2 linked regions of the Oryzias latipes genome follow. The protein of the gene in region 1 purifies or fractionates together with the protein of each later gene. This does not show direct contact. Links are inferred from orthologs where the notes say so. Each region holds a gene or a part of one and is shown in the gene's direction. Other genes may lie near its edges.

Region 1 (9,797 bases):
CACCATAAGTTTATAAATCGTTTTAGGGAAAATTTCATTTACTGTGACTCCAGCAATAAGATGAATAAAGCACCTTAAGTCTTCTCAATCCTCTCTGCATTGACCTTCTCTGCCGGTAAGAATGTGAGATGGCGACAGAAAAGTTTTATTTTAGGCTTAGTGGAAAAAAACGGAGAGAATTCAGTCAATTAGGAAGCAGAAAAGGACAAAATCTGCCAGCAGAACAAACCTGGATCCCACAAAACATTGCAGAGTTTAATTAAAAAAACAAAAAAACAGCACCTACGGGCCACTTTTCTTTTATTAAAAATAAATACGATAATTCTTGTTAAATTGCAAACCATCTGATGAATGATGAATATACATCAGTAGTTTGGCTCAACATCAGTCTCGTCTGTCGCTGCATAAAATAAATAAGGCTTTACAAGAGGATTAAAAGATTTAAAATCATAATCATGACAGATAATAAAAGGCAGCTGCTTATTTGTCTTATGAGTCCATAGTGATACATGATCCTATATCAGTTTTAAAGTCATAATTTGTGATGGCACCTATACATGTCCAGAAAAATCTATACTATCAGTCCATGTAGTGCACCTCTGCCTGCAGCTCCTTGGTGACGTAACCAACCAGAGCGGCGGTCAGCTGCTGCTTCAGCACGCCGTTGCTCATCACCAGAGCAATCAGCTGAGCCACGTCCGTCCACTGAATGTCTCCAAGGACGGCCATCACGTCATCATACAGCTTCTGCTGCTGCGGGGGGCTGAGCTCCATGATGATCTGCGGCAGGGGTTTGAACTCTCCGCTGGTCAGCCAGCAGCCGAGAAGTCCGCCCACAGCGCCACCTGCAGGAGAGGTTTTAAACTAGCGTGATCGGGGAACGGTCCTGAGCAGACGTGAAGGTGGATTTTCCACTCACCCACGGCGATGCCAAGAGGACCTCCGATCAGGCCTCCAGCGAAGGCCAGCCCACCCGCCGCCGCCGCTCCCTTCCCAGAGCCTTTCACGGCGGTCTTGATCTGCTGGTTGGCGGACAACTCGCAGCAGAGCTTCATGACTTCATCGACTCGTGGGGCCATGCTAAAGGTCAGGGTTCAAGGTTCAGACAGTTCTCAACCAGACGATGCGTCACTCGGATTCTGTTATTCTGATACTTTCAGAAATGACAAAAAAGGCTTCACGCCATTCACCATCTACTTTATTAAGACTTTCATACCGTTCACTTCACTCTACAAAGGTTAGTCTTATGATCTTTAAAAAGACACAAAGGTCCATAAATGAAAGAGATTAGAAACTGATTTAAAAAAAAAATTGGAGATAAAAAATTATTTTTTGAAGACGAGTCTTAAATATGTCATTGTTCTTTGATGAAGTTTGGTTTCTATTTATCTTTAGTTTTAGTGAGGCGTCCTTATGTTGGATGTAGGGAGGCTTCCGGACATTCTGTGTGTTTTATCATTTCTATTTACAAATAAAGCACTTTGTGTTACTGCACAAAAAGTGACATGTCAATAAAGTTTGATTTGATGTGTTATTTATTGTGACATTGAATTTATTTTTGATGATTTTAAAGGAAAGACTACATTCCTTTTCTTCTGTTTTTTTTTTCTTTTAATCATTTCAGAATAAACAAAGAGAAAATAAAGGTTTGGAGAATTTTTAAAAGGAAAGCTGTTTCTGATCTGTTAACGTTTGTTAATTTCATGACAATAAAGAGAATTTAAACAAACCTGAAGGTGAATCAGATGTACATAAGTAGGATTAACGTTTTCATGCTAAACACACCAAAAACATTTGATTTAATCTGGTGATGGTCAATATAAACTATTTCTTAAAATTTATACTTAGAATATTTTGTCCTAAATTCAATTAAAACCTTAAGAATGGATTAAACTTGGTTTCCGGTCTTTAAATTGGTTTTAAACAGCCGAAAAGGCGCTTTAATCATGAGTAAATTGAAAGGCTAACGTGATGCTTTTGCTAGCTGGCTCTTTTTGTCTCTTTCAAACTATATAGTTTAATTTAAAACATAAATCCATAAGCGGAATAAAAAATAAATATACCGGACATACCTGACAAAATGATGAAATCTTTGACCCTTCTTAATGCGGTGAGGTCATTTTATCAGAAGTTAGGCTTTGCTGATCACCATCTTTAGCTAACATGTTTGTGTGGGTGGCGCAATGCCCGACGGGAAAAACAGCGGTGCTGCATTCAGGAAGTTTCGGAGCTTTGTGTTTCAACAAAAACACAATTCTATTTATTTTTTACTCCTTTATAAAGAAGCCTCAGTCATTTATTTATTGTTGGTGGAATAAGTTTGTATTCTTATCAAAATAGCTAATTTTATTCCATAAATGACACGAGGGACAGGAAATACAACAATCGTGGAGTTGGACAATCTGAATCGAGTAGCTGAACCTAAAGAATCAGTGTTTTATAAAAAATAAAATAAAACATTCACGAAGAAAGATGGCATAGCATAGTTGGGCTAGTAGAGATGCCAGAAGTAAAACTTTCCATTCACAATATATAAAAGGCGTCATGTTGTTGTTTGTATTATTATTATGATTATAATGATGATTATGATTATTATTATTGCTTTGTTTTATTGATCCATTATCATTATTTTTGTTCGGTTGTCAAAAAAAGAATAAATAAAAACTTGAATTATAAGAAAAACAACAATGGAGTTACGGCTCATTTTAAATGTTTAAACTGTTTTTCGTCCTCTTTTTCTGGTAAATTAAACTAATCGTAACATTAGTAAAAGGTTTTTCCACATGGTTCTAAAGTAAGCAAATGATAGTTAATTTTTAAGGTAATTGGATCTGTGAACACTGTGAATGTATAACTGCAATCCAGTCATCATAAATGATAATTTGAGAAACAGGTGTGTTGTGCTATTTGAACACCACAGATGCAGAAAGTTGTCACATTTCGTGTTTAACTAAAATTAGAAAAAGTTGAAGAAGGCCTGTAAGTCAGTATTCCGGGCTGCAGCTGTAAAGTTTGATCAAAAGTGAACATAAAACTGTGATTTTTGCTGTAATGACGTTATATTAAATGCCGACATCAAGAAAATGGATATTTTAACTAAAAGCAATAATTCGCTGTTCAAATCCAACAGAACATCCTTTATTGCATCTTCTTTCAACTATTTATAGTGCATCCAATTGCAACGCATGCAGACTAAAGTTTTTTTTTCTGAACTGACAGTTTAATTAAAGCTAGAAGTAATATTTTTTTTCTTTAACGTGTGTTTCTGTTTGTTAGTTTTTATACGTTTTAATGCTTGTACAGCTCTAAGTTAAGATTCGGTTTATTTTTTATGTTTCGTAAAATATTTACAATACTAAACATTTACCCAGAGTGCACTCTGGTAGACTTTTCTAGACGTCAAACAGAAATGACACGCTTGGTTTTCAAAGTAAGAGCGAACATTTAGATAACGTGTTAACATTTTAAGAAAAACACATGTAAGATACGTGATAACGAAGATTAAATTGGCATGTAATTTATGGTTTGGTGTTTTGGGAGAAACTTGCATAAAAAAACGTTGCCCACTCCAAGTCTCTTCCGTTCACGGGTTTTATTTTGAAACTAAAAACCGGAACAGCTCCCGTTTCTTCCCCTGTGGGTCGATCTGCACAGCGAAAGAAGCGAGGAGTTCTCTGCTAACCTCTGGATCCAAACTCGGCGGATTTTTTTGGAGATCATGCAGAAGCCGTGAAATGAGCGTGTGAGATGATATCACCTTCGGACGTGAGGATTACCGTCGATGCCCCGTTGATGAAGGCGCGCGGGACGGGCCTCCGGAGGAGCTGCTGCTGCTGCGTTCATAAACACTTCTTTAGGACTCACAACAAACCCTGAGCTTTGGTGCTCCTCAGAGCCCCAAGGCACCTGTGCACGTGCGGAGTAAGGATGGCTGGAGGAGGAGGTAAAGCGAACATGAAGCCCCTCGGCGGGGTTCACAGGCTCCGAGAGGAGCACGAGAAGGTAAGAGGAGCGCGTGAGCAGATCTGCAGCTGCGGGCCACGAGGCTTGTTTCCTTCTGAAAACATCCTCCTCTGCAGACATGAGCCGCAAATACGGAGAAAGAAGATTCGTTTCTTTTCTTTGCCCTGCTTCAGGTGAATTAGATCAACCCACAAGCCCCTCCCCCAAACCTTTACCTGAGCTTTTACTCCTGCAGGTTGTTTGGTTTCAGACTCCATGTTTACAGGCTGCCTTTGCTGCTAACTTCTGTTTTTTCTCTCTCTCTCTCTTTCTCTCTGTTTGGCTAATAAGGAACACAAAACTCAGTTTGATAGCATGAAAACATGTATGTTGTGTTGAACGTGTCATGTTGTTCATGAAAGCATTTTTTTCCTGCATCAGGTGGTGAAAGACTGTGACTCACGGATTCAGCATTGGTAAGCTGCACAGTCCTGAAAGTTTCTCCTCTTCTACGGTTTCCTCTCTGCTTTGAGTGTGAATGTGTACGACTTGGATATGAATGCAACAAAGACGCTCAAAGTTTGCAGGAGAATAACCCCCCTCCCTTTTTTTTAAGCTGCAGTCATGGATTTAGATGATCGCATTTTCAATTTTAGAACTTGACGGTTAAAGCTTCCCATATTATTTTCCTCATATGGCAAAGACAAAAGTTTTTCTAGGATTTAGCAGTCTATCGCCACAGCATGATACTTCCGCCACCCTGCTTTACCATGGAGACACGCCCCCACAGAAGACTAGTTTAGCTCCTAAACCGTCCCTCGCCCACAGTCGGCCCTGATGCAACATTTCCTTTTGTGGTCCGTTAGCAACTTCCATATTTTTGCAGAATTCTCCCCTTTTTCTTTGCTTTCTCTTTCATTTTCTAGGATGTATGAGAACAAAATAATTCAGAAAGATGCAAAAAACAAACCAGATCAGCCAATTTAAACTCCACTATCTGATGAGGTTGACATCGTTTACTCGCACCAGGCGAATAATCTTAAGAAATTAGGTAATAATTGGCGTTTATTTGTTTAGGGAAACGTTTATTTTTTCTGCTCTGTTTTTTTTACTATATAAACTATAAACTTTCAGGTTATTTTGTGAGTTATACTCTTGTAAAAATGTAGTTTAAATGCATTTAAATGTCCTTTTTTCCTTAAAGATTTTCAGCAGTCATTTATTTTGGTTTTGTTTACAGTCTTCATGAAGGCGTAAAAGTTTTTTTTAATCTCTAATGCAAGTTAATAAAAGTTAAGATGTTTTGGTTTAAAGTAGTTTTCCTTATAGATGATTGTCATTGCCCCCTTGTGGCCATCTGAGCAATAACATCCTTTAACTTTACTCATCATTTTATACCCAAATCGCATCAATTGGGTTAAATTCTGAATATTTCTGTGACCCGACCTGCAGGATGAAGGTGTCGGGTGATTACGACGCGCTCAGCGATCGACTCAAAACCCTCCCAGACCGGCTCTCCTATGACATCATGGTGAGCGCTCGCCGTTTCACTTGACAAGTTTACAGAGTGACCCAAAAACCAAAACTTTACTGGAAGTTCTGTGTCTCCCGTTTGCTCCATGTTCGCGCCCACTTCCTGTCAGCTGCTCTGACTAACCCGGTTCTGTTCTGTGGCCCGTCCGGGCCTCCTTGTGCTGTGAGCAGGTGCCCTTCGGCCCGCTGGCCTTCACGCCCGGCAAGCTGGTGCGCACCAACGAGGTCACCGTGTTGCTGGGCGACAACTGGTTCGCCAAGTGTTCGGCCAAACAAGCCCAAGCGGTGGTGGATCACAGGATGAAGCGTGAGTTTCTGAACGGCGGCGTGTGGCTGCAGAGCGGCGGCCTGTGGCTGCAGAGCGGCGGCCTGTGGCTGCAGAGCGGCGGCGTCTCCAGCGGGGGGCGGCAGTGCGTCACATTCCGACAGCCTGAGCTTTACTTTACAGACGTTTCTGGGCTCAGGATGAAGTACGTCTTTGTGTAAAAGCGTTTGGACTCGTTCTTTACGTCAGTGACGGCTGCAGGCTTAGCCCCCCCCCCCCCCCCCCCCCACCACCACACTTTTGTGGCCAGGTTATAGACCGCTATGGTCGTTTGGCGTGTTGTCCGGACGCTACAGCCTTTACCTCCACATAAAAAAACCCTCTCTGATTTGAACATTATTAGACTGTTTAGTGAAGCAGAAATGCCCCCCCCCCGCCCCCCCCTCTCCTGACCCCCGCCATCCCTGCTATTACACAGCTAAGTGCTGTAATGCAAACACAGCGAGCTGAAATGTGTCAGACAGCGGCTGAGCTGTCTGGCCTTCTGCGTTTGACCTTTCCTCACTTCCAGTTGATGCACTGACTGGAGGGGCTCGCCATCGCCATGGAAACAAGGGCCCTCTGCTGCTATTAGTGAAAGGGCTTAATTGTTGTGAAGATTTAATGATCCGGAGTAGCATTCAGGGCAGAAGATATTATGAACTGTTTGTGTCATCATTTTTCTCCCCCCCCCTCGCGCTTTTCCTCGCCTTGTTTGGGGGTTTTAACTCTTCAGCAGCTGCTCGTCACAGCGATGCACGTTTCACGGCGCCCTGCCGCCGCCGCCGCCAGCCTCTGCGCGTTCTCGTTGTTGTCGGAGCGCCGTCGCCGCCTTCTCTCATGAAAATGCTTCTGTGTTCCAGACGTGAAGAAAGAACTGGACGACCTCGCCAAGACCAGGAAGAACTTTGAAGCGCGGGTTGGGCTCGCCAAGGATCTGGAGACCATGTCGGCCGTACGTGGCGTTTCTGCGAGTCCTCACACACGAACACACACACACTAATCTATTGACTCTCGGCTGTAGAATAAAGGAGAGTTTGTGGACATCAGAGAGGAGGTCACGAGCTCCACCGCCAGCAAAGGTATCTTCACAGAACGTTCTTCCTCCTCCTCCTCTTCCTCGCTGTGATTAAAGACGGTTCTCCTTCAGCAGAGTGACGTTTGCTTCTTCTCACAGGGAAGCAGAGAATAGCTCACAAACCAAACTCCAAACCAAAGCTGGACGTCGTGGTTGATCTAAACGAGGAGGAAGAGGAGAAGGAAGGAGGGACAGGAACCATGACCGAGGAGGAGCTGTGGCGCCGGTTGGATGAACTTGAAAGACTGGAGGAGCTGCAGGACGAGCAGGACAGGTAGACTCCGCCTCCTCCTCTGTGCTAAAGAGCTGAACTTCAGAGGATCCCAACTGATATGTTTCTCCTCAGATTGTCCGATACCGCCGACACGAACGGCGACGACTCATCCTCGTCTTCCTCAGAGGAGGAGAAGGAGGCCGCCTGCGCGCCTCCCGTCAACGGCCTGAAGCCCGGCTGGAGCCCCGCCCCCCACAGCGACCCTCCACTCCCCAACCGGAAAGCAGAAGATGACGAGCAGGAGGAGGAAGGCAGCTGTCTCCCCACCATCTTCTTCTCTCACACAGTTGAACCGAAGAAGGTGCGTTTACAGATGGGGGGCGGGGGCTCTTTGCTCCGCGGCGTCCGCGTTGAACAGCTTCACCTGTGTTTCAGGTGAGAATCAACACGGGAAAGAACACCACGCTGAAGTTCAGCGAGAGGAAGGAGCAGAAGGAGCATTCAAAGAGGAAGAAGAAGAACGGCCACAGCAACGGGCACGCTCACCACGAGCTCCACAAAATCACGTCTCCAGCGGACGTTTACAGGTGTGGGAGGGGCTAGCAGCTGCAGCTCACCACCATGCGGTTGTTCGGCGTGCTGATGGCGTTTGTGTTTGCTCAGGCTCTTTGTGGACGTGAGGAACGGCGAGCCCGTCCCCAGAAAGTCCATCCTGAAGTCTCGCAGTCGAGAGAACAGCGTGTGCAGTGACACCAGCGAGAGCAGCGCCGCCGACTTTGAGGAGCGGCGCGTGACGGGGCGGAGCTTCAGCCACGACGAGGCCACGCACAGCGACACGAGCGACGGCGTCACGGAGGAGGACAGCCCCACCGCCGGGCCTCTGCTGAGCCGCTTCGAGGTGAACGCAGACGCCGTGGCGGCGCGCGTCCGGCGCGAAGGTTTCCCGGCTGACGGCTTTTCTTCTCCTCCCAGGCCTTTTCCGGGACGGTGATAGAGAAGGACCCCATGCCCACAGGAGTCCCCCACCTGACCATCCTGCCCCCCGCGCTGCCCACCATCCCAGAGAGGAAGCAGGAGGAGGTGGCGTCGGACGTCACGCCGCCGCCGGTGCCGCCGGAGGCGTCTAAAAGATTGTCAAAGTTTAAAGCTGCCAGGTTGCAGCAGAAATGACATTTGAAGATGAGATTATTCTTTCACCAGTAAACAACTTTTATATTTCCTTACTGTAACCACGCCGCTTTCCCAGCATTCCCCGGGAAGCGTGCAGTAGCCACATAGATGCGTCTCTTGTTGCTGCGTTTGTGACGCGTTGAGCCGCCAGGTGAGTCTGGCTGCAGGCTCTGGGCGCCGTGGCCTTCCTCTCTTTGTCAGAACCAGGGGCGGCCATGTTGCTTTTTTTACCTGTGGACCTGCCTGGTGAATGTATGTTTTCCTCTCTGCAGTAAGAAAATAAGGAAATATTGATGAAATGTAGCCGGAAAATAAAGGATTCAAAGCTCTGGTGTTGCTTTCTTTGTGTTTTGTGAGAGAAAAAATGAATGGGTAGATGTGGATCTCTCCTGCTCTCCTATTCGCCCACAGGGCTTTGTTGTGTTTCTGCGCATCAGAATCAGGTTATGTCCCGCTTTTCTGCCGTCGTTGCACGCCAGCATAAAAAACATGGAGTTATTTACGTGAATTAAACCGCCTTTTCCAACAAAGTGACAGATTGTTGTGCACATTTATGTTTGAACAGCATTTCCTGTCTGAGTCCTTGATAAAAAACATGTTTCTTTAAAGGATTTTATTCATTTGTTGCCAAAAACTGTTGAATTTGAGAAACGAATGTGTGGTTTGCATTTGTTGGGTTTACAGAGTGGATTAAATGGGAGAAATTGCTGAATTTCTTCTGGAGAAAAAACATCTCACCAACGTTTATCAGGAGGAACTTTTCCTTTTGTGTCCATGAAGCAGCTTCTTGTTTCACTCAGATGTTTGCTTTAGTTGAATTTAAATACAATTAAGCATAAAGTTGCTCTACATTTATTTGGCGAGGATTCATAAAACACGAGTCTGAATCCAGGTTGTAGAATTGGTTTAAAAAAAACCTAATCAATTCATGTAAAAATGAATACGTTGATAGAATCTATGAAAAGGTTTTTTTCTTGAGGAAAAAAAGTTTTTGTTCACATTTACTGTTTTATGGATGGAAGTTTTCATTTTCTCATGGATGTAAAAACAGGTCTTTATCACCAAAAAAAAGGACATTTGTCGTCTGAAAGTGGAATCAAACGGACCTGAAAGGTGAATTTAGGAATAAAATCCCTTCAGTTTTTTTGTCTTTGGTGATTTTACATCGTTTCCCTCACAGATTGAACAAACCTGGTTTTGTAGTGGACCATATTATTTTTCTGTTCAATTACAGTCTGTTAGAAAACTAGACTGTAGATTATTAACTGGACTTCTCGTATAAAAGAGCCACTGTGATGAAAACCGTGTCTTTGGTGTTTCTGACATGTTCTTGTAGCAGTTTTGTAATGATGGACAGAAATGAAAGAATTTAAGATTAACATTCTGACTATGTCTTTATCCAAATCTGCATAAAAAAAATGTCATTTGGATAAAGATTGTATTTGTGACGTAAAATGCGCTGGGCGGAGCCACAAGCTACATGCCCCGCCCCTCTCTGATCATCCACCTGCAGACCAATAGACCCATAACGTCTAGTCTGAGCTGGAATCTGGATC
Region 2 (9,881 bases), on another chromosome or scaffold:
AAAAAAGAGCTCATTTTTAAACAGCAGTTTTTCATTTGCTCCTAATTCACAGCAATTTGAATTTTATACATGTCCTCCATTTGTAGAATTTGTTTTTCGCACATAAACATGTTAACAACACAAAAAACATAATTTTCATTGTAGAAGATCTTAAATGTTTTTTAAACCATTCCCAACAGATTATGCTAGAAAAAACAGATCTTTTCTATAGAGATGTTTAACTTTCAGCAACAGTCACTAAGGACCCTTTCCCAGTTTTACTAGAAAAATCAGTTTAGGAAAAAAAATAAAAAAATCATGTCATAAAACAGAGATTTTGGCAATAAAATATTTTTTGATTTGATTTGAAATGGTTTATTTCAAGCAATCAAATAGAAATAATATACAAAAACAATAAAATCATCCGTTATACATTCATACCATAACTAATCAAGCTTGGATAATTAGACATATTAATAAATATTGCTTGAAAATAAAATATAGATATAAAAGCAATAAAACTCACAATTTGTCTGCAGATTGGGCAGTGGATGGCACCAAGCCAGGTGCCATATCTCCAGTAAGCCATGATGCAGGAGCCTGTGTAAGAATATGTTAACATCTTAAAAACCATAAATAATCCACATCTAAGTAAAATATCTCATTGATGAGGGTTTGACACAACTTCCAACTATTAAAATTAAAACAAAACCTGTTTTACAGGAGATTTAGAAGAAATTAGCACAAGATTGTACAATTTCCTCACAGAATATCAAAAGTACCTTCACTAATAAATTGTGTGAGGAACCCCTAAACTATACTTTGCTTCTAAACTCTTTCTTACCACAGAAAAGGTGTCCACAGTTTGTTTCCACGGGCAGAACCGCCTGCTGCAAACAGACGGGGCAAGACATGTCTGTGTAGAACTGCTGCCTGGCCTCTGCCTGAGGGTTTTCATCCTGACAAACCACACGCAGAGAACACGTCTCACCATTGCAAACAGGACGTTTGACAAAATAAAATACACAGAAAGACATCTTCCTAAAATAGAATCGGTGATTCTGCAGAGCTGCAAAGATCACTGTTATGAAATATTTCAATGTAGTGGTTCTGATTCTGCAGTTCCTCCATTTCCTGTGTCTGCCTGCTTACATATGTTCTTAACTCCTCACTGAATTTTAAAGCCTTTTGAGGTGACGATGAGCAAACAGTTTAAACTCAATTCAATACTGAAGATACTGGCCGTCTGTATATGTATATGTATAAATATTTTTAAAAATGTAGTTTTAACTTACTCAGATAAATAAATAAATAAATAAAAAGGTTATTTTAAAGTATTACAACTCCAAGAGTTAAAAAAAAAAAACAAGCTACATTTATTTTCTGTTTACTTGTTTGATTTTTTAAAAAAATAGAGCAGTGAATGATTTTATTTTGAAACTCAGAATTAAGCAACAGAAGAGAAAAACGGCGCTCTGTGGCTACAACTAGTCTAGGTTTTGCCAAAAACTTTCTGGGGTTCTTTCTAGGTTGCGCACCTGTTCAGTTTGAAGCTGCTGTCGGACCGCTCGGACATGCTCCTGGTTCTCAGGGTGGATATTCTGCTCATCTTGCCTTAAAAAAGAAGACAAAGAATAATGATCAGACACTAGGATGAATTATGTCATATATGATTGAATTCATCCTTAAATCCCTGACTTGAAAAATCCAAAAACAAAAAGATTGCAACAGATTAACGCAAAGAGAGGCAATCTGAGTGTGTCAATTCTCACTTATGTGTTTCTGCCTGAAGGACAAAAGGTTTTCAACCGTCGTTGCGGTAAGAAATGGATCAATGAAAGAAAATTTCATAATGATGATGTAAGTAAAATGATCTGCCAACTTTGATTGGAGCGCAAAGACCATCATTTTGCTCGTTGCGCAGGGAAACGAGCCTGATCGATCTGGCGTTACTTCAGTCGCTTTAAATTCTAGAATTAGCTCCTATATCTGTGATATCACATAAATTAAACAGCAGCATAATTTCTCCAATCAGCAGAGAACAGCACAGTAAAAACACTGCATGAACTCAATGCTGCCAGTTTTTGCACAGACTTGTTGGTCTTCATTACCTGCAGAGAAGAGTGAGGAGGCCCGCCAGGAAGGTCAAACTGAGAACTACAACAAACAGGACCTGGTTGCTGACACCTTCGATGATGGTGTCCTCATCCTGGATCAGGTAGTCCAGCTCTCCACATTGACTATCCCCCATTCCCTAAACTCATATCCTATGACTCTGGAAAATGAGCAGAGAAAACAAACCCGGAAATTCTTTATCTCCAAAATAAAAGCCTTCAATGGAGAACAGAATCTTTTTAATTGTACATTTTCCTGACAATTTGACACAATTGTAAACATAAAAACCAAACAATATAATGTGAACAATTTAACAGAACAAAGAGAGTGGATAATTGTTGAAAGCTGGACTCTTTTGGGGTTTTGTTACCTCATTCCTGAGCAGCTTATCGAGAATTCTTGAAAGCAAACGTCATTTGTAAACAATTAATGTTTACTTATAGGTTCATTTATCTTAACGGAGGTTTTCAGACCTCATTACTTTTTAACGCTACACAAACGATTATTATAGTCATTTATAACTAGGATTTAAAAAAAGAGAGGATTATTATCGCTCGTAAACAAATACAGAGCCTTATGCTAACAACAAACCTTAAGGTAGTTCCTGAAGTGAAACTATTTCATATCACGTAAATCGAAAGCACTGACGAAAATTAACATGAACGTGTTTCAGACAGCAAAAAAAAATACAACAAAAAAAGAAAACATTTGTTTTAAAAAATAGAAAAACAAAGACTTGCCATAGTTAGTAGTAGTAGTAGTACCTGCTAAGAAGTCCACCGTCACGCGGTAATGTCTGTACACAAACTTGGCCTGTTAACTCCATTCACTTCCTCGAAACATACTATTAATTTAAGCGCCTGATGAAGGACGCAATCAACAAACTTGGTGAGCAGGAAGGCTTGCATACGTTTCCAAATTTCACCTGATCATCGCATGTTGATGCAGTCACTTTCTACTTCTTACTCAATTTTGGTGGTTTCGTTTGTTGACAGCAAAGATCCCTGGGGCTCTACCGCTCCCTAACGGCCAGTTTGTGAACAACTTATTGTCATGATCTTTGCTTTAAGTTTCATGGTTATCGTGGTCATATCATAGGCAGTTTAAACGACTTGTTCAAATAAATACATATGGTTTTAATAAAGCAATTTTAAAGTTAAAGAGCAAAATTTTTCATTTCCTGGGGAAACTTAAAAAAATGCCACAACTGACACTGCCACAGAATTTGCGACTCAATGGTAATTGACACACAAAAAGAAAACAATTGTTGCACAGTATTTTCCTCACTATATTGGTTCAATGCTCATCATCAGTACATTCGTATGGAAGATTTCTGTAGTATATTTTAAAATGAAAGTCAATACCAGAAATGCTTTTTCAATTTTTAAAATGAAGCTGCATTTGTAATAATTTATAATAAAAAAAAAAACAATCCGACCAAACCACTTTTTCTTTTTCTTCTTCTTCAACACAGCTCATTCTGTCACTTAATTAAAATGAGAAAGAAAATGGTATTCGACATTTTTTACTAAATGTGTAGCATAATGTAATTAGAAATATCTTCTTTGATCATCAAAGTTTATTAACAGAAATGCTTTTTCATTTTGAAAATGTAACTGCATCAAGTGAATTAAAAAATAAAATTACAAACGAATGAGCCAATCTGCTTTTCTTTTTCTTCTTCAACACCGCTTATTCTGTGGCATAATTAAAGCGAAAATGCAAAGATGGGATTGCATTTTTGTTTTCACATCCACCGTGCGAAAGGTGTAATAATTCATCACCAGTTCATTCCATTGTGGCTCTTTTTCAGACCACTGTCACCCTGACTTCCATTTCCTCTTTTGATCAGTAGGTGGCAGTAATGAGCCTGACCGTAAATCATCTACCGGAGAAGAAGAAGTAGCGTCATCACACCGATGCGTATGGCATTACAAGCTAGCGTCTGTGGTTAAAGATACTTAAGATCTTTATCACACCGCATTTTTCAGAGAAAATGCCTCGCTATGCCCAGTTGGTGATGGGCCCGGCTGGTAGCGGAAAGGTATGTTTTCAAAAATGCCACTGGATGGTCTACAGCCTCTTGTCTGTTGTTGCTAACAGTACATGAGGTGGTGTCAGTCACCCAGCGTGTTTTTATTTTGTTATTGTGTTTTGCCATTAATTGTATCTTTTTAAAATATTATTATTAATATTTCAGAGTACGTACTGCTCCACCATGACCCAGCATGCAGAGGCTTTGAACCGCTCAGTTCAGGTGGTCAACCTGGATCCAGCAGCAGAACACTTTAATTACCCTGTTATGGCAGGTTAGTATGCTCAAAATGAACCGTTTGTGTCTCCAAATATGAAAACAAAAAAATTAAAAAACGATCATGTTGTCATGGTAATCCATCTATGACAGCAGGATGTCCTTTCTGACGTTGGTAAATCCTTGTTAAAGTCTTGAGATCTGTTGAACCTAATTTACTTTTGTTTAAAAAAAAAGTATTTTATTGAATCTTTAAGTTTATATAATAATAATAACAATATTAATAATAATAATAGTGGATTGGATCTTTCTGCGCTTTTCCAGACGCTTAAAGTGCTTATTATGTGTCCATTATTCATTCACTCCTAAGTCATATTATGGATACACCTCAGTATTGAGAGATAGAATGTTACAAATTAAAGACTTCATTTGTAAAGTGAAGTAGAAAATAAGTATTTGGTCAATATCAAAAGTTCATCTCAATTCTTTTGATAGAGGTCAGACATTTTCATTGGGTCTTCTCTTTTGGTCCATTTCTCCATGTAGATCTCCTCAAGAGCTTTGACGTTACTGAGCATCACAGACTTTCATCTCCCTCCACAGATTCTCTATTGGATTGAGGTCCACAGTCTAGCTAGACCACTCCAGAGCCTTAAAATGGTTCATATTTTGCCACTTTTGTGTTGCCTAGGCCAGTGTTTTTCAACATTTTTTGAGCCACGGCACACTTTAACCTTGACAAAGACACAGCGGCACACCAGCATCCAAAAAAAAACTCAGTCTGTATTGATCGACAGCCCCCCCCCCCCGCAATCTCACGTGCATTTTTGTGATAATTGGGGCAGAAAAAACAGGAAGTTGCAGCTGTTTTTTCTAAAAGATGAAATAAAAGTTAAGTTAGAAAATTCAAAAACTGTTTCATGTGTGTTTGTTGTGGTTTCAAGACATTTAACAAGGACGACTCATTGTACGCTAAGACGCTGTCCCTTTAACCCAGTGCATCGTGGGAGATGTAGTGTGAAAACTGCCGCAAAAGGGCAGAAGCTTCAATGTTTTGTTCACTTGTTCCACGGTCTGACACCGGATTCTGTGGAAAGCTACACCGCTAAAGACGACCTTTGGCTGGTATTTTTGTTAGAACCGAGAGACTTTATGAGCTAAATCGGGACAAGGAAGTGAAGACTTTAACCACTTCTGATTGGTCAGACTGATGACATGTGATTAAACCTTCAAGAATGATTGGCGGAGACAGTTAAAGGGGCGGGACTTTTCCTAAAACAGCTAAAGCTGCAGCCAAATCGCGGTACCGTCATTCTTATCAAAATGTCTTTAATAGAATCAAATAAACACAAAGAAAAAATAATTTTGTGATCTTTTATATTCCTAACTACTCAGTGTTTTATCAGGGCCTGTTTGGATGAACACAGAGCTGATTTCCTGGAGATGGGAAATGTTTTTAGATCAGTTAATGAGGGCAATTTCCCACGGCACACTGGACCATCTCCCACGGCACACTAGTGTGCCGCGGCACACTGGTTGAAAAACACTGCTCTAGGCAATGTGTTTGAGATTTTTGTCATGCTGGAAGATCCAGGCACATTTCATCCTCAGTACTCCCACTGAAAGAAGAAGTTTTCTTTTGCCCAAAATCTCTCCATTCATCCTTTTCGTAACAAGGATCAGTTGTAATGTCCAGTGAGCAGAAACACAGGCCCAATTCATGATGTTTCCACCCCCATGCTTCACAGTAGGTAATGTGTTCCTGGGATGTGAATTGGCGATCTTTCGCCGCAAAAAACTGCAAGTGGCGTTGATGCCAAAGAGTTCCATTTTTGTGTAGTTCTGGGCGGTTTCCTCATCGTTCTCAAGATCATATAGCAAACAGGTGACGTTAACACAGGAAACATGGAAGAATTTCTTAAAGAAGTAACAGGTCTGTGAGGGACAGACATCCTGGTCGTTTGTAGGAGATAAATACTTCTGTGGTACTTTTTGCACCACTGAATAAATAAATGATTTCAAAATCCTAAAATACAATTTCTTGGATTCTTTTTTTTTTTATTGTCTCTCTCACGGTTGAAGTGTATCTAGCTATGATGAACTTTAGAGACCTCTACCATTTTTAAGTAGGACAGCTTGCAGAATCGGTGGCTGACAAATACTTTTATCGCCCGTCGTTGAAATTAGAAGCAAAAGTAGATGATTAGTGAAAAGTGAGATCCTGCGAAGGTTGTTTTTTTAAGTCCGTTTCCAGGAATTAATGCCTTGTGTTTTTTTTTTTTGTGCTTTCAGACATCCGGGAGCTCATCCAGGTGGACGATGTCATGGAGGATGACTCTCTCAGGTTCGGCCCCAACGGAGGCCTGGTGTTCTGCATGGAGTACTTTGCTAACAACTTCGACTGGCTGGAGGAAAGCTTAGGTCACGTGGAAGACGATTACATACTGTTCGACTGCCCAGGTAAAAGCCTCAGCTCGGTTTCTGCAGGGAGTTGAGGGTTCGTGATTGTAAATCCAGCATCCGGAGGTGTTCTGGTACCGGATGTAATTTGTTTTTTTTTTCTCTGCAGGTCAGATTGAACTGTACACCCACCTGCCTGTGATGAGGCAGCTGGTGGAGCAGCTCCAACAGTGGGAGTTTCGGGTTTGCGGAGTGTTTTTGGTTGATTCCCAGTTCATGGTGGAATCTTTTAAGGTATATATATGTATCCTTTGCTCTGTGTTGTTATTTTTGTTTGTTTGTGTAGAACCTGAACTGATCAGCACCAGCTTTTCTCTTTGTTTCCCTGCAGTTTATCTCTGGAGTCATGGCTGCCCTCAGCGCCATGGTGTCCCTGGAAATTCCACAAGTGAACATCATGACAAAGATGGACCTGCTGAGCCCCAAAGCCAAGAAGGAAATTGAAAAGTACGGACAAAGCACATCTGCCAGCTTTCAGAAAAAAATTAAAACGCCACAGAATTGATTATTTACAACCATTCTTAATACAGTCAGAAAACAAAATCAAGCAAATGTAGAGATTAATTTAGAAAAATAGAAACATCTGAAGAGGTGAGTTTGGAAAAACTAAAGAAAAGCTGCCTTTATTACTAGTTTCTTACAGATTAAAACCCAGCAAGTTCCACAAGGTTCCACTTAATGATTGGAAAAATAAACTTAATTTATTTTTTGCCTACATACATTCATTTATTAAAAGTAACGTTTAAATATTTACAATAATTAAACTAAAAATGATAAATATATAGTGATAAATTTAATATTTTTATGAAGTCCAAATACAACAGAAATTATTTAAAATACTCACTTTTATTGCCAGTAATGACATATTTTTGATAATTAACAGTTTAGCAAGTATTTGCTGACTAGAATTTAGATTTCTCAAAGTGTAGGTTGGACCTGCTGGGAAACAAACATAAAGTTTTGCTTATGGTTTTTGTTTTTCTATGTTAAAAGCATGAATGAACACTTTTGATTTATTTATTTTGATTTTTCTTTAACTGAGTGTTGTAAGTTTGCAGAAGTAAGTAAATGTTCCTTCATGAAATGCGTGTTTGTGTTGTTGTTTTTTTGAAGGTATCTGGACCCAGACATGTACTCAATGATGGAAGATAGCTCCCATACAATCAGAAGCGCCAAGTTCAAGAAGCTAACCAAAGCTATTTGTGATCTTGTAAGTGGACTTGCAGCTTTGTGGCCTAATCTGTTGTCGTGTGTCATTGCTGATTTTTTAAAATTCTCTAAACATTTGGCTTCTTTGTCCAGATAGATGACTACAGTATGGTAAGGTTTCTGCCCTTTGACCGGACTGATGAGGAGGGTATTAACATAGTGCTGCAGCACATCGACTTTTCCATTCAGTATGGAGAGGACCTGGAGTTAAAGGAGCCAAAGGTGAGAACATCTCTAGAGAAAAGATGATTTCTTTGATCTTTGATCTTTTATGTGACATTTGAGGTTTTGCTTTTTGTCTTTTGCAGGAAGGGGATGAAGAACCAGCTAATCTAAATTATGACGAGATATTCCAAGACACAGTTGGCAGCTGAAGCTGGAATCCAGATACAATAGTTGACAACGATGTTTGACTGATTGAAAGGTTGCATTGACTGCATGATTTAAACAAAAACAAAAAAGAAAAGAAATTTGAGTTTTTTATTGGGTGTTTTTTAGCCTCATCGTTTCGTTTTTTTGTTTTGTTTCTGTGTTGATTCTGTGGAAAACTCTGATTTATTATCAAAGGAAGATATAATGCTATTTATTTTTTCTAATAAAATCAATAAAACACATGCCTTGTTGCTTTGTAAAATCATAAAGTCACAAACTAAAAACAAAATGTCAAAAATGGCCTTGTAAACTCAAACCACGTGTCAGCGCCCCCAAGTGGTTGCAACGCCACATGACATCCAGCCACTTCCTGTAACTCAAAGGGTGCGACAGCCGGAAGTAGCGTCTCGCTGTGCTGACATTCCACTTGCTGAGCAGTTGGATTGATAGATTTCAGTCAACATGCCGGTTAGTAAATACCATCCTTCATGCCTTTTTTCAATGTTTATTTATTAGTTTTTGTGTGTAAATTTTGCCGGCTAAAGCAAAAATAGCTAGCCTAAAATTCTGGTTAACGCTAGCTTCACGATGATGAGTCTTTTAGCTTAGCTTATGCTTGCTAGCCTCTTTGGCATTTTAGCAATTTTAAAGTTTCGCACGTATAAATGAACAAATCTGTTGTTACTTTGTGACGTTTACACTTATTTTGACATTACCTGATTAGGGAGACATGGAAAGTGGCGGATTACTGATTTTGTTACAGTGATATATATGCGCTGCTGGAATATCTGAACTGGTGGTTCTGATGACAGCGATGTGTTCCTGTTTCTTTATAATGTCAGGCATATCACTCCAACCTGATGGAGCCGAACACCAGGATGATCGGAAACATGGCCTTGCTCCCCATCAAAACTCAGTTTAAAGGACCAGCGAGGGGAGACGGTGAGCATTTTTCATGACCCATTCACAGGCTGGTGCAACTGCATAAATGTTCCGTCTGCCGATACAAATCCCAAACTACCAGATAGGTTTAATGACCAAAAAAATCTCCTCTTGTTTGACTTGGCACCATTCAGAGTTTTACATGCATAGAGCGTCTGCTCAGTTCCTTATTTAAGTGTCAGCTGAACTTCCTTTTATGGTCTGAAGTCAATCCCCAGGTTGGTAGTTATTGACTTGTTTTATTTAGGTCGAAAAACCTCCTTTATTGACGTAGTATGGTATCTATTTTTTCTCTTCAAGTGTTAAAGAATTGCATTTTTTTTAAAAGGTGCTCAATTTTGCAATGTTTTTGTCTGTTTAGTCGCTATCTTTCAGATTTAAGAACAAAAAGCATAAAAAATGGGCTTCTGAAAAACAGGAAGTGACATAATTTTGCCCATGGATATTAAAAGGTTAAGTGGTAGTTAATTAAAAAATGTATAATATTGGTTTGCTAATGCGTGAATGTTTTTTTTCTCCAGGTGTAGAGTCTGATATAATTGATGAGGCTATT

What was found. Proteins that work in one complex are often made in the same cells at the same time.
Region 2: the proteins of uri1 (region 1) and gpn3 purify together in Homo sapiens (affinity purification with mass spectrometry; 3 studies listed by BioGRID and IntAct, with this or other methods). This does not show direct contact. The link is inferred for Oryzias latipes from reciprocal best matches to the Homo sapiens genes URI1 and GPN3.

The regions. Positions count from the first base shown.
Region 1 is NC_019864.2:30,474,434-30,484,230, forward strand, and holds uri1 (unconventional prefoldin RPB5 interactor 1), read left to right. Parts: upstream 1-3,609; 5' UTR 3,610-3,927; coding exon 3,928-4,002; intron 4,003-4,383; coding exon 4,384-4,418; intron 4,419-5,394; coding exon 5,395-5,473; intron 5,474-5,646; coding exon 5,647-5,782; intron 5,783-6,642; coding exon 6,643-6,734; intron 6,735-6,803; coding exon 6,804-6,861; intron 6,862-6,956; coding exon 6,957-7,131; intron 7,132-7,203; coding exon 7,204-7,432; intron 7,433-7,506; coding exon 7,507-7,658; intron 7,659-7,734; coding exon 7,735-7,969; intron 7,970-8,043; coding exon 8,044-8,241; 3' UTR 8,242-8,570; downstream 8,571-9,797. Other genes in the region: protein C19orf12 homolog, read right to left, coding at 580-845, 920-1,079. UniProt on the Homo sapiens protein: Involved in gene transcription regulation. Acts as a transcriptional repressor in concert with the corepressor UXT to regulate androgen receptor (AR) transcription.
Region 2 is NC_019870.2:16,798,071-16,807,951, reverse strand, and holds gpn3 (GPN-loop GTPase 3), read left to right. Parts: upstream 1-3,975; 5' UTR 3,976-4,090; coding exon 4,091-4,138; intron 4,139-4,294; coding exon 4,295-4,403; intron 4,404-6,637; coding exon 6,638-6,805; intron 6,806-6,914; coding exon 6,915-7,039; intron 7,040-7,136; coding exon 7,137-7,252; intron 7,253-7,918; coding exon 7,919-8,015; intron 8,016-8,107; coding exon 8,108-8,236; intron 8,237-8,322; coding exon 8,323-8,388; 3' UTR 8,389-8,628; downstream 8,629-9,881. Other genes in the region: E3 ubiquitin-protein ligase RNF170, read right to left, coding at 506-579, 824-938, 1,518-1,593, 2,091-2,230; arpc3 (actin-related protein 2/3 complex subunit 3), read left to right, coding at 8,849-8,854, 9,229-9,328, 9,850-9,881. UniProt on the Homo sapiens protein: Small GTPase required for proper localization of RNA polymerase II (RNAPII). May act at an RNAP assembly step prior to nuclear import.